2 linked regions of the Alligator mississippiensis genome follow. The protein of the gene in region 1 purifies or fractionates together with the protein of each later gene. This does not show direct contact. Links are inferred from orthologs where the notes say so. Each region holds a gene or a part of one and is shown on either strand. Other genes may lie near its edges.

What was found.
Region 2: the proteins of BACH2 (region 1) and MAFK purify together in Homo sapiens (co-immunoprecipitation; 3 studies listed by BioGRID and IntAct, with this or other methods). This does not show direct contact. The link is inferred for Alligator mississippiensis from reciprocal best matches to the Homo sapiens genes BACH2 and MAFK.

Annotation. Positions count from the first base shown.
Region 1 is NC_081824.1:77,764,819-77,773,562, reverse strand, and holds the start of BACH2 (transcription regulator protein BACH2), read left to right. Parts: upstream 1-5,210; 5' UTR 5,211-5,789; intron 5,790-8,744. UniProt on the Homo sapiens protein: Transcriptional regulator that acts as a repressor or activator. Binds to Maf recognition elements (MARE). Plays an important role in coordinating transcription activation and repression by MAFK.
Region 2 is NC_081836.1:50,335,924-50,344,241, reverse strand, and holds the start of MAFK (transcription factor MafK), read right to left. Parts: upstream 3,536-8,318; 5' UTR 1-3,535. UniProt on the Homo sapiens protein: Since they lack a putative transactivation domain, the small Mafs behave as transcriptional repressors when they dimerize among themselves.

The sequences.
Region 1 (8,744 bases):
AAAAGTTTGTTTTCTTTCTTTTAATTTTTCTGCTTTTGTAAATATATTTTGTGAAGCTAGTTTGGTGGTTGCCATTTATTTTTAGGTGACTTATTCCTCTAAAGTATGCAACTTCTAGATTGACAAGTTCCATGTTTATTTTCATCTAAGGGGTTACTATTATTATTATGAGAAAATGTTTCCATTTTGGAGAGCTTTTCTGATGATGATATCTCTTTAAAACATTACAGTTGCCAACCATCAAAATACAATATAGATAATATAAAAAATAGCACATCTCTTTCTTTGTAAAGTCTCCTTTCATTCAGCTACATGTAATATTTTCCTCGTTGGTCTTCTATCATTGTCGTTGGTAAATCTTTTTCAAATTGTTAACGTTAGTGTATAACCAGTACTTTCACTGGTGAACACTGTAAACACTTTCTGAATGGTGCATAAAGAATTTAAAGATCATTTTCTGTTTCTGGTACTTGGTTCCCTAGGGCTAAATTTTTAATGGTATTTAGGCACCTAAAGATGCAGCTAGGTACCTAGTGGGATCTTCACAAGCACCTAGGTGCCTAACTCCCAGTGGGCCTCCAGTTCTCTTCACAATGCACTGAATATTCCCCTGAGGAGGCATGATCCCTTTTTTATTGACGTCAGTGGAGGTTTTGCCACTGACTAAAATGGGATTGAATTAATTACAAAGCTAGTTTAACTCAGACTGAGAGCTTTTAGTTTTATGTTTATTTTACATTGATTTTAAAACATTAGTTAGTAAAGAATTATTTCTTTGAAGATGTGTAGGATATAAGCAGAGTTTTGGGAGGTTTGTACAATAAAGCTATTTAGTTTGGTTTCCACTTGGACAGAACATGACTGTATTTTTTTTTCCTCGCTCAGTCTCCTTTCTTAACGTTATCACCCTCAGTTTAGCATTGATTCACTCATGGAATGTCTCCCCCAAACTCTGCAAGGTTTACTATGGAACATGCATGTGAAACTGATGATATAAGAAACATAATGCTTGCTTTCAGAAGCTCTCTGAAAGTGTGCGACTAATACAATGGTATTATTTTTGACACTCAGTTCTATCAAAATTAATTCGTTTTGCATCCCTTTGGAAGGCAAAGCAATGGAGGCAAACATTTTAAGCCCTTAGTCCTGTAAACCAATGCTGCTCATCCTTTTGGTGCCAAAGGCTGGACAAATGGCCTGGGGCCAGTCTGCAGGCCACATCATGACCCATGTGCCAGGATCAGACTCCACTCCGCCTCCCTCAGCTCGATTGGGGCCCAGGCCACATCTCCACACTGATCTAGCATGCTCTCCAGCATGCAGGGCTCCCCTGGACCCAGAAACTTGGCAGCAGAAAAGAAACGCTTGTTGCTGCTGCTCCCTTGCCATCAAATTTTGAGACTGAGACCCATTGGGGCCCCTGAGGGCTGGATAGTATAGTTCTGTAGCCTGGATCTGGCCTGTGGACTGAGGCTTGAGCTCAGCTGTAAACAACTGAATACCTGAGTAGACTCATGGCATTGAATTAGACTTGTAATATGATTAAAACAAGGTGTGTGTACACATACATGTTTTCATGACCAGGGCCAAAAAACCCAGCTATGAGCAGTATTTTACCTGAATAATAGACAGAAAATCATAAATTTGGGGGCAGATTACATTCATTTTCTGCAGCTGCATATCTTCACAAAGTTGACAATACTGGATAATCAATACCAGAAAAATCACACTATGTACTCTACCCTGAGTAAAATGTTGACATTGTATGTTTGTGTGAAGTGCCATTAATTACGCTTGAAAATACAGCCCATCAGATGCAGCAACTCTAATCTCAGAAGGGGGCATCAGAAGTTCCTCTCCACATACAGCTGTTGGATGAGATGGAAAATAACATTCTGTAAAATCACAGTAACATAAGAGAATGTTTCATAGTTTCATAGTTGGCAGGGTCGGAAGGGACCTAAGCAGATCATCAAGTCTGACCTCCTGCCTTGGGCAGGAAAGGATGCTGGGTTTAAATGACCCTGGCTACGTGGCTGTCTAGCCTCCTTTTGAAGACCCCCAGGGTAGGGGTGAGCACCACTTCCCTTGGAAGTTGGTTCCAGATCCTAGCCGCCCTGACTGTGAAGTAGTGCCTTCTGATATCTAGCCTGAATCTACTCTCAGTCAACTTATGGTTGTTGTTCCTTGTTACCCCTGGTAGTACTCGGGGGAACAGGGACTCTCCCATTGCCTGCTGGTCCCCTTTGGCAAGTTTATAGGTGGCCACCAGATCCCCTCTCAACCTTCTTTTGTGGAGGCTGAACAGGTTCAGGTCCCGTAGCCTCTCCTCATAGGGCCTCCCCTGCTGCCCCCTGATCATCCGAGTGGCCCTCCTCTGGACCCTCTCGATGCTGTCCACATCCCTCCTGAAGTGCAGCGCCCAGAACTAGATGCAGTACTCCAACTGCGGCCTGACCAGTGTCACATAGAGGGAGAGGATCACCTCCTGGGACTTGTTCGTGATGCATCTGTGGATGCATGACAAGGTGCGGTTAGCCTTCCTGACCACGTTCCCACACTGGCAGCCCATGTTCATCTTGGAATCAATAGTGACTCCAAGATCCTTTTCTGCCTCTGTGCTGACAAGAAGGGAGTTCCCCAGCCTGTAGGTATGCTGCTGGTTCTTCATCCCCAGGTACAGTACCTTGCACTTGTCCGTGTTGAAACCCATCCTATTATCATCCACCCACCTCTGTAACCTGTCCAGATCTAGTTGTAGCCTATAGAATGAAAATAAACAATCTGACATAAGACCCCCAAAGCATTCACAAATACAGAAATGTTAAGTACTAATTGTAGCTTTGTCTGCAACAAGCCAACATTTATTGTATATTCTCTTGGGAATATTTTCTTTTACATTTTAGTAAAATGTAAAAATCCCAGTTCGCTAAATCCCTCAAGTGCTAATACCTCATTCAGAGCTCCTGGTGTGAATCATTTGCTTGCTTACTTTCATCTTTAACAGGATCCCTTTAATCTAAAATGTTCTTCTCACCTGAATGTGGTTACATATGGTGGAGCACCTTATTGGCTAACCCATTAAGAGGAACAGCATTTCTACAGCCTACTTCCTGAGATGCTTTCATATAAAGGCTTCTGCCTCTGAATGAGCTAATTTAGATGGTGCCATATGCCCTGCCTTCTATCTAACTTTAGACTACCATGGCAAATTACCTTTCTCACGGTTACATACATTAGGCGTACTAAATTCTGTTTACTCCTGTTCTAATGTTAGTATTTATAAACTCAGGATTTCATCCCAAATCTCATGGTATATGGCATTTTTTTTAAAGCCCCTGCTGCTTGACTCAAAGTGACTGCACAAGAATCTCAGCCTTCACTTTTTTTGAGGTTGATGGCGGGGAGGGGAGACTGGAAAATATTTGCTTGCACATCTTCAAACCCAGAATACAGGGCAAAAGAACCCAATCTCTCATGTTATTTTCAGGCTCTTTGGGCTCTTTTTTTAGCCATTCTTCTGATCTGATGGGAGGTGACCTCTTCTTCCTATTCTTCTGATCTGGTGGGAGGCCACCCATCCTAGTGGGATATATGGGTCTGGAAATGTGATCTGGGCAGGAGATTTTCAGGGACCTGGTCAGGTCAGGGTGTTTTCTGTGTCCTTTCATCGCATCTGATGAAGTAAGCTTCAGCTCATGAAAGCTTGTGGTACAGATAAATCAATAGATGGATAGATGGATCTACTTTGATTAGTCTACAAGGTGCATATTGTCATGACCCAAAGGTCTGATTTTGTGTGTGCTTCAGCACTAGAATTATCCCCGTAGGTTTACAGCTTCATTGCACAGTGAGTTTTGCTGTACAGAGAACCTGCGTGCAAAGGAGAGAGTTCCCGCCACTTTGCAGCTGTCTTTGCAGGGTGCATTTTCTTTGCAACACAGAAATGCACGGTGCAAAGAGTTCCCGCTCTTCGCATGCAAATTTGTGTCCCGCTATTGGCTAGTTCTAAATTATTCCCACATGGCGGCTAGCGATTGGCCTGCTAGCCATATAAGAGGCTTGAGCAGTTTCCGCCCAAGCCGAAGAGGACTCCACATCCATCTCGTGGGGACTCTGGGCACACGGCAGGGTCATCGAAGCCCTGAGTGTTACTCAGAGGAGTTTGGAGGCCTGATCCACCGCCCACCTCTTCCCGTTTTTGAGCGGTAACTTTCTATAAGACGTATCGACGAGTTTTCTATTTTGAGGCGCGCTTGTCCTGGACATCCGGAGTTCTGTCTACGTGGAGCCTAGCAAACTCCATGTGATAGTTCGTGTTTTCTGTTTGTAACCGCAACTCAAACAAGTTTTTCAGCCTGCACCGCGACCATCTCGGTGTAAGTAAACAATCTTAAAATCAACCGTTACGTGTCTGTGCCTAATTCTAGCTCGGCGCCCGCCCTCTCCGACCCGGCGTGCCCGGGCTGCCGGCCACAGCCCGCGTGCAGCGCGACAAAGGGCCCGGGTTCACACCCAGCCGGCACACAATTCTCCCCTGCCTTCTATAGACCAGGTAGCCTGGAATCAACATGGGGAACCGCCCTCCGGTCGTGTTGATGCAGGGGTGACTAGATTCGGAGCCCGGCCTGGCAAAGCACCATGGCAGCTTTGTCATGCTGTGGCCCTAGGTCACTATCCTCGGTTCTCTAGACCATTTTGGCTTGAGCCTCTGCTCCATGCCCTGATGGGCCCAGCTCCATGAATCCTAGCAGAGTGGGTAGGTGGATGGTGGGGGAGTGGGGTAGGAGAGTGAGGTGGGGGGAGGGTGTGGGAAGGGGCTGTGTGTGTGTCTGTGGCAGGGGAGTGGGGCAGTGTGTGGGTGTGTGTGGTTGGGGCATGGAGTGGGAAGGGTGCGCGTGTGTGTGGTGGGGGAGTGGGTCAGGTGTGTGTGTGGTGAGGGAGTGGGTGTGTGTGTGTGGCAGTGGAGTGGGCCAAGGGGGGTGTGTGTGTGTAAGGGAGCACAGGCCAACCACAACTTGCCCTTGTCCTTCTTGGACAACCAGTGAGCTCATCTCACCGCCCCGCCCCTCCCCTCCTCAGGGTCAGCGGGAACTACAACTCCCAGCGTCCCGTTCGGCCGCGCGCGAGACGCCGCGCGGACCCGGCGCGATTCTCTCTCCGACAACCCGGGGCGGGGGGGAGGATGCGCATGCGCCGAGGGTCCCGAAGCGGCGCTACGCGTGTTGCCGTGCGTAGAGCTGCTGTCCGCTGAGGCGGCGGAGTGCTACGTGGTTTGCGTAACGCACTTGTGAATGGGGAAGGCGGGGGGCAGGGGGATGATGTCAGCCTTCGAATGTCAACAATGTAGCGATTGAGGGAGGAGGCGCCGCAGCAGGAGCGGAGCGCGGGGAGCGGGTGGCCGCACACCGGGGCCGCCGCCGCACGCGCACCGCCGCCGCCGGGCTGCCCGGGACTCCAGCCGCCGCTGCCGCCGCCTCGCGCCGCGCCCGCCCCGGCTGCAGCAGCAGCAGCTCCTCCGCGGTGCCGTCGCGCCTCCCAGCTGCTGCAGCCGCCTCCGCTCCTCCTGCCCCCGCCCGCCTCTTCCCAGCCGCCCCCTCCCTTTCTTCCCCGCGGCAGGACGGGGAGCAGCGCTCGGCAGCCCGCGCCATGTGATGCGCGTCTCTCCGGGGGCAGCTCGCGGTGCGCGCCTTTGAAGCACCCCCCTCCGCCGCCGGGAAACAGCCCGGTCCTCCCTGCCCGGCCGCCCCCACCTCAGGGGGAGCGACCCAAAGTTGCATTCAGCCAAGGTGAGTGCTTTTCTCCCCGCCCTCCCTCCCCCTCCGCGCCCCCACTGCTCCTGGGAGGGGATGGATGGGGATGAAGTTTGCAGGGGTAGGGGGCTGCAGCTGGGACGGGCTGCATCGGTTTGGTGTCTCCTGAAAGAAGAGGAAAGCTTGGGGGGTCCCTTCACCTGCCCGGCGGGGGGGGGCCTACCTGCCCCCCTTTAACCCCTTCCCTGGGCAGGAGGCTGCTCAGCCCCATCTGCCAAGTGGGGAGTGCGCGCAGGTTGCGTCACTGAGAGTGGGCAAGAGGCACCCAAGTCTCTGTGTGTGCCTCCAGCTGTGTATGTCCCTCCAGCTGTGTGGGGCTGGGGAGAACATGATGGCTGGGTGTGAAGGAGGAGGGGGCGGGTGTTGCAGGGGGCGACTGCCTTTCATTGCATGAGGGGGGAGAGTGCTGCCCTTGGGGTGGGTGTGCAAGGAGGAGCAGGGGGCGGGGGGCTGGATTTGTGGGCCCTGAGTAAAGGCGCCGTCAGATTTGGAAGGATCCTAAAGACCCCCTTGGGTCGTGTGTCATGTCCCCCGTCTCCCCCCCCCCTCATCTGCTGGGTGCTTTTCACTCTTTTGTGCCCCAGATCCGAGCAGCAGGGCAGGGAGAAAGGGGGGGTGGGTCCCATCCCCATGAGTGTGAGCAGGGCTGAATTTGGGGCTTAGGTTCCCTCCAGAGCAACCCCTCCCCCCAGCACACCTGCAGGGAATGCTCCCACCTGAGCTCTTTCTGTCTAGGGGTTTCTGTTATGGATCAGGAGCCACCCTGTTGCTTAGTGCCCTGGTGTCCCCCTTCCCCCAACCCCCACACACACTCTTCCTTGGTGCAGGCAGTGTGCAGTGAAGTGTTGGGGGTCACTTCCAAAGCTGCTGCCTGGGGGGACTGAGTCACTGCTGCTGCTTTCCTGCTTCTGTGGTTTGTCTAAGATTGCATTGGGGTGTTTGGAGGGGGCTGTCCCCCACATGCACCTGGGGCTCCAACTCTGCTGTAACTTGACCACAAGTTGTTGCCACAAACAACCATAGATGTATTTTTTATTTGACGCACTCAACACAGTTGGCAACTGACTCTACTCCCTTGGAGGTGCCTTTGTGGCAAGCAAGAACCTGCTTTAAATAGCCAAGCATCTGCTCCAAACTTCTTCATGGTTGTGTATCAGGCAGCACCTTTTCTTAAGAGCAGTGTCTCTATATCAATTTAATCAGTTCAGTGTACTAAACCAAAAAAAAATTAATTACTCCCCATAAAATCTTTCCTGTCTGTTGGGAACCTGACAAGAGATGAAACTTAATGAAATACTTTTCTCTCTTTTTTTTTCTGGTTTGGAGTAAAACTGGAGAGAGATGTTAACTCTGATAATTTTCTTGGATCACTAAAACATAGCATGTAGGTAAGGCAGTTAGCTGCAGAGGCTCTGGCTGTCATGAAAGTAGCTAAGTGTGAAATCATGCCTCGCCTTTTGTGGAACAGGCTATTTTTATAATACAGCGGGTGTCTTCCTTAAAAATGCTTTGGTTATTGTGAGATCACCGTGCTCTTATTACTGAAGCCCTGCCAGCTCTGGAGTAAACGACGTTTTTCATTCTTGAAGATAATCATAAATGTGAGGCAGAAATGACACCTTATTAGAATTAGTCTTTAGTCTGTTGGGAAGATTGCTAAATTATAGTGTTGCTGTTTTCTCTGCCATGGTTGAAGACTTGTCAGTGTTTTCATGACAAAAAAAATTTTTTTAGGTCTTTGGAATTGTCATAAATGTGTGCATTTTAATTCAGTATTCAAAGGCTTGAACTGGGAGTGGAATTTTTCTTTGCAGGTGGATTTGTATGAGATTTTGTTTTGGCTGCATGCAGTGGTGTATTGTTTGGAGGTGGTGCTTTGTATAATGTGACGGGGGTTTTTTGTATATGAGGAAATTGGCGTTTTGGTAAGAAACAAGGAGTAGTTGCTTTTAATACTATGGATAGAATAAAATTGCCAAGGAAACATGTTAAACCATTGACTCCTGGGCTAGTATTAGTAGTGCTTCTTTAACATTTTAGAAGATACGTCATCCCATAAATCAAAACTGTACATATTTTTAAGATGCATGCACATTCTTTTGAAAATCTGAATTAGCTTTGCATCCTCTTGCACGGGGTTCATCAATAGTATGTCATTGCCCGTATAGCAGGTGGACTGCCATAGTTGAGCATGAAAATGACACTAAAAGCATGTATCCTATATACTATGGTGAAATACTATCTAACTCCAAAAGCTAATTTGATGGTGTTGAATGCCATCTGCACAAAATGGAAGGAAACCCTGTCTTGTCACAGTAGGGGATTGGGAATTAGGATTACAAATTTCTGTCTCTAGATCAGTGGTTCTCAACCTTGTAAGACTCAAGGCACTACTTGGAAAATGTCAGCTCTTAGCTTTCCTTCAGTTTTTGGCTATGGAAAAATAATAGAGCCATTCTTCTGTTGCAGAGAAACCAGAAAGACTGCAACAGGTCAGAATGTTTTTGATGCTATGAATTCTTATTTGAAGTCTTGTTAATCATGTGTAGGTGTGTGCATAACTAACAGTGCTAATTTTGTGGCAGCTTTAAAGGCATCTCATGGCATCTCAGGTGCTGGTTGAGAATCAGTGCTCTAGATCATTGTTTTACCTGCTGGATAATATTGGGCAAGATGTGTAATGCGATGTACCTCAGTTTACCCAAATCTAAAATGGGAAGAATACTTGATAGCCATTTTGCAAAAGCAATTCATATTTTTAAGGCATCTTAAGATCCTCTAATGAAAATTTCTGTAGGGCCACAGGTAGTGTAAGGATGTAGTATTAGCTAATGTTGCATTTACAAAAATATTCACAAATATATATTTTTGTAAATTTGGTAAGATGTTGACTATCGGGGTGCAGAGGGCAGAGACCAAAGTGATATACTC
Region 2 (8,318 bases), on another chromosome or scaffold:
GCCTGCAGGCAGGGTCCAAACACAGGACCTGGAACAAGCACTCAGAGTTATAATCCTGACCAATAATTACGTCCGCTGTGGCCTTGGGTTGGTTTCTTAAAATATGACGCAATCTCCCCATCTGTAAAGCGAGGATAAAAATACTTACAATCTGTACTGATTAAAACTGTCCATTTATCGCCCACAAGCAGTTAAATATATTACAGTGTGTGGCATTTCCTATCTTTAGAATCCAAAGACGAACCCTTCTAGTAAAAAGGTAAACAGATGCAACTATTCCACACTGAGGGATGTCCACTGCACAGCTTGCAGAGGTGTTTTGAAGCTCCCTTTTCTTTCTCTGCCCTATTCCTGCCCTTCTTTTCTTAATTGCAATTGCTTCATCATATCTAAAGTTAGCATGGAAGCTTTTTAGAGCACGGGCCACATTACATCTTTATTTTGCAAGCAGCCTGGCACACTTCTGAGTATCATACAAGAACAGCAGACAGTTCTGTGCCCCCGATGAGGGGATAAGGGCTTACAGATTGGCATCTTTAGTATTAAGAAGTGCTTTTGTTGTAGTGATGTCATGTTTTTAGACGAAAATGATCCCCTGGCACTCTTCCCAATACCTTTGTTCACCTCCCCTTATCACTGTCAACATTGTCAGGAGAATCCGGGACAGAATTCCAAGCTGCGTGGTTTTGGTTTGGCACCACTGATAACCCCTACTAATTTTCTTAGAGGCAGCTCAAGACAGGGGAGATAGACAGCCCTAACTAGTGGATAGAGGCAGGAGTGCACTGCGATGTGAGATGACTTGCAAGGAAGAAGAGCACAGTAGACTACATCAGTTTTTAAATAGCACTCCTCACATGCTGGGGCTCCCAAAGCACTTTACAAAGCAATGCATTAGTGACAGTCATAGCTGCTACCTCACAGCAGGCATGGATGCACTTGTGAGTAATTTGTACACAGCCTTGAACATTAAAACCCATTTATCCCAAAATGGAACAGTGGCCAGGACAAAATTATCCAGCAGAAAGCCCCATCAGCGTTTAGCTTCCATTCAGACACACGCGAGACGGCAAGGACAGCAATGTGAAGATGCACAATCCTCAGCCCAAAAGGGCCAATGACCGCTTTTCTCCTCCCTAGGAGCACTGCCATGCCAGGATGGTTGCATGGTAGAGGTCTCTCCGTCTTGTACAACTCATCACATCAAGAATCTCCATTCTGCCCAGAGGCTTAAATCAGCAGTACTGCCTCCAGCCAGTCCAAAACACAGTGAGACGATTTGTAAGGCAGCTGGTCAGCAACCTATCCACACTTCCAGTTTACCCACAAGCTACTTGGCCCTCTTTCCCTTTCTTAAGGGACATAAAGGCAAAAAGTTTCAAAAGACTGGTGACCCTCCACATTCAAGCTCCAAGCAGCCATCAATGAGCGGTCAGATTATTGGAGGTTAGGCAGCAAGTCCTGGTTCCCGCTGCTGCCAGAAGCCTGAACCTCCCACCCTCCTCCTGGTCCACACAGAGCATTTCAACCCCGAAAGCAGCACACACTTACCCAGATCTTACAATCGCACCGCCACACACCAGAGGAGACACCCGCGAGATGGTCACATCAGCCGACCATTTCTCCAAAGCTGGCCGCGTGAATGTGGCCACCAAGGAGGACATCAGGTCTTATAGGTGAAGGGAACTGCAGATGCTTAAGCCCCAAGCTCTGTGCCTCTGCCCCTTGGAGACCTGACATGGATTTCCAACACGCTGCAGTGTGAAATGCAGACAGCACCATCCCTCCCATCATCCCCGGGTCCTCCCCCTGCTTCAGCAGTCCTCATGCATTCTGCAAGACAAACTGACACTTGTCGTTCATCTGGATGAAGGGAGGGTGCGGGGGGATGCTGATGATGTGAATCAAGGAGACAGCAAACACATGCAAAGCAGTCAATTCTCCATGAGCCCAGAGAAGAGACCAGGGAGGGGTGAGTCACTGTTTACTTTCTACACACTAAACTCGCCCAGCTGGCCAGCTTTCCATTTCCCTTATGGATCAGAACCAGCATCCACCAGCAAAGAACAGATTCAGGAACCTTCAGACAGAATTTGAGAGCTGCCGGGACACGACTCGGAGGCTCTCTCGGGGGAAGCCTGGACAGGGATCAGACAGTCTTCAATGCTTTGGTAAACAACCTAGTCAGATGCTGCAGAGAGCCTATGGTTACAGAGCGGCCGATTCAGGCTATCATGAGAGTGTGCCTGTGTGTCACATTACAGAGACCTTGGACTTACAGGGGGGGAAGAGGGAGGGGGAACGGCAGCTACTGAAGAGGTCGGATACACTGCTCACAGCTTCAGACACAGCAGACACAGGGCAGCGCTCCTCCCCACAGTGCGTTTTATGGAAGTGATCAAACGAAAATACACTGCAAAAATGAGTTAAGTCCCACATCACCATAGCACAGAAAAAGTACTTTTGTGACCTGGGGAAATCAAGGTAGTACGTGGTCAGCGATTTCTATGGGGCCAAGAGGCAGAACTGAGATGAGGGCTTGTGAATTCTCCTGAGCCCCGTGGACTAAGTCCAACCTCCACCTCCATGTGAATGTGAATGATGACAGACATGAGGATGGTTATTCAGGCACCCAGACTGCGAGACAGCGAAGCGTGCTGCAGGATGCGCCCAGTTTTAGAGCTGAGCAGCAGGATAATTGCTTTCATTTACTTAAAAAAAAGTTTTTTTGGCATCCCAGGCCCACAGTGAGACAGCCTTCCAAACAAGAGAGAAGCAGCAAAAAGCGATGCAGCAATATCTGCCCGAGTTTGCAGATAGCCTGAAACAACAGCCCAGAAAGGAGCATAAACCGCCTGCGCCTCTTGATGGGGGGCTGAGCCTGAAATTCCCTGATAATTGCAAGCGTCAGCACTGCTGGAGAGTTTCGCAGCTGCATATTTACTCAAACGAGCTGCAAGCGCACTTATCCCACCCGCCCTGACTGCCTGCCATACCGCCTGGGGGGCCAAGAGCTCCAGCTGTCCCTGCTTCCCCTCCCAAACATCCGACTGTTACAAAGTTTCAGTGCAAAACCAGGGGGCTTCAGAAAGCCATTATAAACACTCGGCTGCTTAGGCTTTATTTCATTCACCATTAAACTCTGTTAGTTATTTCAAGCCAGACACAGGTTTAAACCACTACCGCTGCAACAGGTTGGGGAAAGAACATAGGTGAAACTTCCCCAATATGAAGGACCTCTTGTAGCCTTACTTAAAAATACTTCTTGAGGTTGCATATGAATTACCCCAAGATCATTTAACACAGCTAGCCCGAAGTGCAGGAATAAAGCCCCAAAGTCTAAAGTATGTGGAGCATCTTGCTAACCAAAACCCACAAGCCCTCTCCCTGCTGTAACCATCTCCTCCCTGAAAAAAACATCCTCCATATTGTCACCAGGATAGGTACAAACAGGGTTAATCCTCCCTCCCCTCGGTGCTGCCAATGCTAGGCACGGCCATTGGATAACCGGAGCATCCATCATGTTTAGGAAGTGACTGCGGGAGGAAGGTTACTCTGCATTACAGTGTATACACGGAAGAGACAGAGAGCAGGGAGCAAGCACCGGCTCCATCAGTGAGCAAGCAGCAAGGTAAATTCCCTCCATACTAAGCCACTGCAGGACCGCGGCACAGCATGTTGGCTGGGCTGGCGTGGGAGCAGGGGTGCCCCTGCCTGCACATGCCAAGCGCCCAGGGACCGAACCTCCAATAATAAGACGTGCAGCTTTGGATCTGGTGGCACAGGGGCATTTTGGCTTCTCACCTCTTTGCCTTCTCCCCGGCCCCCAGAGCTGAGCTAGGAAGGGGGCAGGAGGGCAGAGAAGGAATGGCAGCTTTTCCATTTCCTGCACTGCCACTTTCCCCAAAGGGCGCTTGCTCCTAAGTGGAGCTGTCCCGGCCTGCTTTCCTCCAGGAGCTGGAGAACGAGTCCCCTCTCCTCCACCCCGCACAGCCCAGGGAAGCAGAGTCCCAGCACCCCTTGGCCACAGGAGGAGGAGGAGGAGGAGGAGGAGGAAGGAGCTCTCTCTCCAACTGACCATGGCATGTTTCTAGAGTTCAGACATGTCTCACTTCCCCTCCCTCGCGGCCTGGACATTTCTCTCACTAGTGCCACTCCTTTGTCGGGGGGGAAGGGAGCAGAAGCCAGGCTTCTCCACCCCCACGGAGCTAACATCCCACCCCACCACCCGCTCAGGGGGAGAAAAGCGGTTCTCAGGAAGCCCCACCCGCCCTCTGCGGAGGGCGCGGTCTCGAAACCCCACCGGTCTACTTGGCAGGTGTCCCCTCCAGCAAGCCACCTCGTCCCCGGCTGGCCTGCGTCCCCACCGGCCAGCCAGGGACCCCTCCAGCACGGCCCCTCCTCGGTCTGCCGGGCCGTCGCTCCCATCCCTGCCACCAAGAAGTCACTTGCTCCATCGCTCTCCCGCAGCAACGCGCCCTCTGCTACTATCCGCCCGACGCAGGGCGACCCGGGCGCGTCTCCGAGCACGGCGCGCAGGGCACAACCGGGGACCCGCTGGCTCGTTTCCAGCGCCCCCAAGGTCCACCCAAGCACAGCCGGGGTCTCGCCGGCCTCTCGAGACCCAGGCGGACCCCGGCCAGGCAGCATCCCGCCCCTTCCCAAACCGCCCAACTTTTGTGCAACAGGCGAGGGCTTCTTCAGGCCACGGGGGCCAAGCCCTGGGGACCCTCCTCCGGAGGGGGCTTCTCCCTGGTACTGAGCCCCCAGCCCGGCTCCGTGCTCCCCCTCCAGCCCGGGCCCCGCGGCCACGTGGGAGCAGAGCCCCGGGTGGGGCCGGGCGCCCCGTGCTGAGTCACGCGGCGGGGCCGACCCCGCATCCAGCGGGCCCAGGCCACGTGCGCCCCGCGCTGACTCAGCGGCTCGGCTCGGCCCGGCCGGGCCCGACCCCCGCCCCGCTCCGCGCCCCGCGCCCCCCTCACCCGCGCGGCGGGGCCGGGCTCCGCAGCCGCCCTCCCTGCGAGCCAGTCCCGGGAACAACAACAAGCGCGGCCCCCTCCCCCCCCGCCCCGCACCGGCCCCGCCCCCCGCGCCCGCCCGCCCGGCCAACCAGCGCCCGCCCCGCTTCCGGGAACCACGCGTCACGGCTCGCGTCGCGCGGCCACGCCCCTGCCGGCGCCGCCGCGTCACGAGGCCACGCCCACGCGGTTCATTCATGTGGAAGGTAGGGAGAAAGCGTGAGGGCTCTCGTGATTGGCGGAGCGCGCGCGCGGTCGGGCGCCGTGCTCATTGGCGAAGCGCGCGGGGCTCCCGGCGGAGGGTCGTCGGAGCCTCTGCTACACTATTCCCTGGCTCGTGGCGGGGAGGAACCCCCACCTCACCTCCCTTCCCCCGGCCTGTTCCTCCCTGCCTGTTTCGGTTTCAGTTTCTTTTGCTTTGCAAGCACTTCCTCCTGGAGCCGCCCCCGGGGGCTTTTGCGCAACCCGCAAGGCCGCAGAAAAAGGCACGTGTCCAGTTGCCACATCTGGGCGAGGGCAAGCGAGGTCCCTGGGAAGGTTCCTGGGAAGAAAGAAGCAACCTCCAGGCTAGGGCAGGCGAGGAAAGCCGCAGAATTGGCGCTGGGACTTGCTGGTCCCGTCTTCGTCTTGTCGCCCACCTCCCGCGTGCAGAAGTTGTGACCCCAGTCACGAAAATCACCTCCTTCCTAACCTAAAGGCTTTGGGGTTTTTGGCGGATGGTTGGTGTTTTCAAATCCTTGGTGAAGGAAGGAAACATCTGTCCTTAAAAGCAAAAGTTTCCCGGTGTCTGCTTTCAGGAGCCGGGGATTTAACCGTTCGTTGGATATTGCGACTGGCCAACGAAATCCCGAGTTGTGGCGGCGCTTCCTCGTCGCTGAGCGTCGCGTCGACCGTGCGAGCAACATTTTAGACCCCCGAGAGCACTACGTCTTCCCAATTTTAGACCAGGGTGAACTAGCCTAGACTTTTAATGAAAAAAGATGCAGAGTTTTGTATATCGACACCAGGCTTTTAGTCTCTCTGTGATTAGGCTTGTGACTATATTTGAACTGAAAAACTACCTGCCAATCTAGGCCAGTGGTGCTCAGCTTGAGGGCCAAAGATGTCATGTCAAAGATGTCAAACATCATCAATATGTTGAGCCAGAATCTCTGTCTCGCGCCACCCCCTTTTGCACAGCTCGGGTAGTGAAGGGAGCAGAAAATCCTGCTGGGATTTTCCCAGTAACAAGGGGAGGTGTCAAGCCAGCATATCTGGCTCCTTCATGTTCCTTTGAACAGCCCAAGGCACAGGGGAGGGTGAGAACAGCAGGGAGGAAATGTGGCTGGACCCTTAAGTGCTCCAAGTACCCTCAACTGGTAGGATGGTTCCTGTAAAGACATAGAAATAGCATAATTTAGAGCACCCTCCAGGCTACTCTAACATTTGCTGAGGCAGCAGATCAAGGAGTCAGAACTGGCTATTTATTGGCTTTCATTTCCTGCTCCTTTTTCCCTTTTTCCAAGCAGAGCTGGACGCAGGCATGAGCGAACCGGGTGGCTGCCCAGGGTCCAGACAAAGAGGGAGCCCAAAAATGGGGAAAAAAATCACAATTGCAAAAAAAAAGTTTTAATATTGTGCATATATGGGACTGGCAATGTTGTCAGTTGAGAATGAACTATTTAAATACATCAGTACCACAAATGTGATAAAGACTTTTGCAACAACAAAAAAAATCATTATCTTTGGCGAAGGGGGCCCAATACTCAGAGCCGTCCCTAGGGTACAGTGGATCGGGGCGACCGTCCCAGGCCCTGCACTTTGCAGGGGCCCTGCGGAGCCGGGCGGAGTGCCTGCAGCCCCTCCCATGGGGCCTGCCTGGAGCTGGCGGCTCAGCCCTGTGCCGTGGAAGAAGCACGGAGAGCCACCCCTTGCAGGGGTACCATGACCCCATGCAGTGTTAAGGGGGCCCCGCACAGGCTGATTTGCCTTGTGTCCTGCACCACCCTAGGGTTGGCTCAGGCAATACTAAAAGTTTGGCCAGGACCACCAGGCGTCTAGGTACAGCACTGCTCCCAAGCAGAAGTCGTGTCCATTTGGAACGGAGAGAACCAGGCTGGCTAAAGTTTCCAAAGCTCTAAGGCCCAGGTGCCAATGCCATTGGTCTTCATGTGTCCCAAGGTTATGCACCCTGTTAAAACCCTGCGGTGGACTTTCCCGCTGTGGACTGCAGTCCCAGGCGTGGGTGTACCTGATGTGGACGCACACACCTAGGGCTCAGAGTTCAAGGGCAGCTTGTAGCTTCTTTGTGCCCACTCACAGTATGGGGCCAGTAATGCTGGGTTTATTCCTTGTGGCTGCTTGAAGTTAGCATGGAGCAGAGAGACAGAGCTCCCACATCCAGAGTGAATATCAGATCCCAGAGTACCTTGGCATGGGGGATTTTTAATACCAGGTTGTCACAGGATAGGGGAAGGCAGCCTGCAGTATGGTTCTGGTGTAGTCACAGCTGGGTTAGAAAACCGTTGTCTGGTGTTGGGTGAGAGCCATGCCTGATCACATTAATAAAGGGCTCAGTTAAAGGGGCAGGGCTGGGTCCCTGAGCTTGGTAAAGTTGCTCTGCTTCTCTGGAGAAGCCCACTTTAGCCGGCAGCCTGCTCAGGTGGCTGGGAGAGGCTTTTCCATGTTGTGGCCAGTCTGCACTTGTAAGCAACAGGGTTTTTTCAGTGTGAAATTACACAGCTAGTGGTGGTGACCCATTCACAATAGCTACTTCTTTCTGGCTTCTGTTTAGTGCACGTGGAAAGGGCTGTTACATTTTTCTGGTGAACTACCTCCTGTTGGCTTTCATTAATAAGCAGAAAAAAGCTCTCCTTTCTCTGTTCCCCAGTGAATGTAACATAGGGTGGGACCATTTGACAAAATGGTTGGTGGGATGTAAGATGCAAAAGGTTGAGAACCGCTGGCCTAGGGGGCCTTGAACAAGCCCCTGACCCAGTATCATCTGGGAAGCAGGGATCATAAGACTTATCCAGGTTTGTAATGAGCTTTAAAATCCTCTTTACAAATTCCCACTGTGTTTGGACAATGAAGAGGACCCGGTAACCATCGATACCATATTGTTGATTATGGAGTTTATTAAAACTCTGGCTATAAACAGAAAAGGTTTGGGTAGAAATAACTTGAACTTCAAGCCGCATGCAATACGGTAGGATTGATGAGCTGCTACTAGGCAGAAGCGGTAGAGACTCCGAAGGGGCTTCTCTCAGGAGTTTTACGGTATAGCAGGCAGAAGTGCTGCAAGCTGGGAGACCTCCCTGT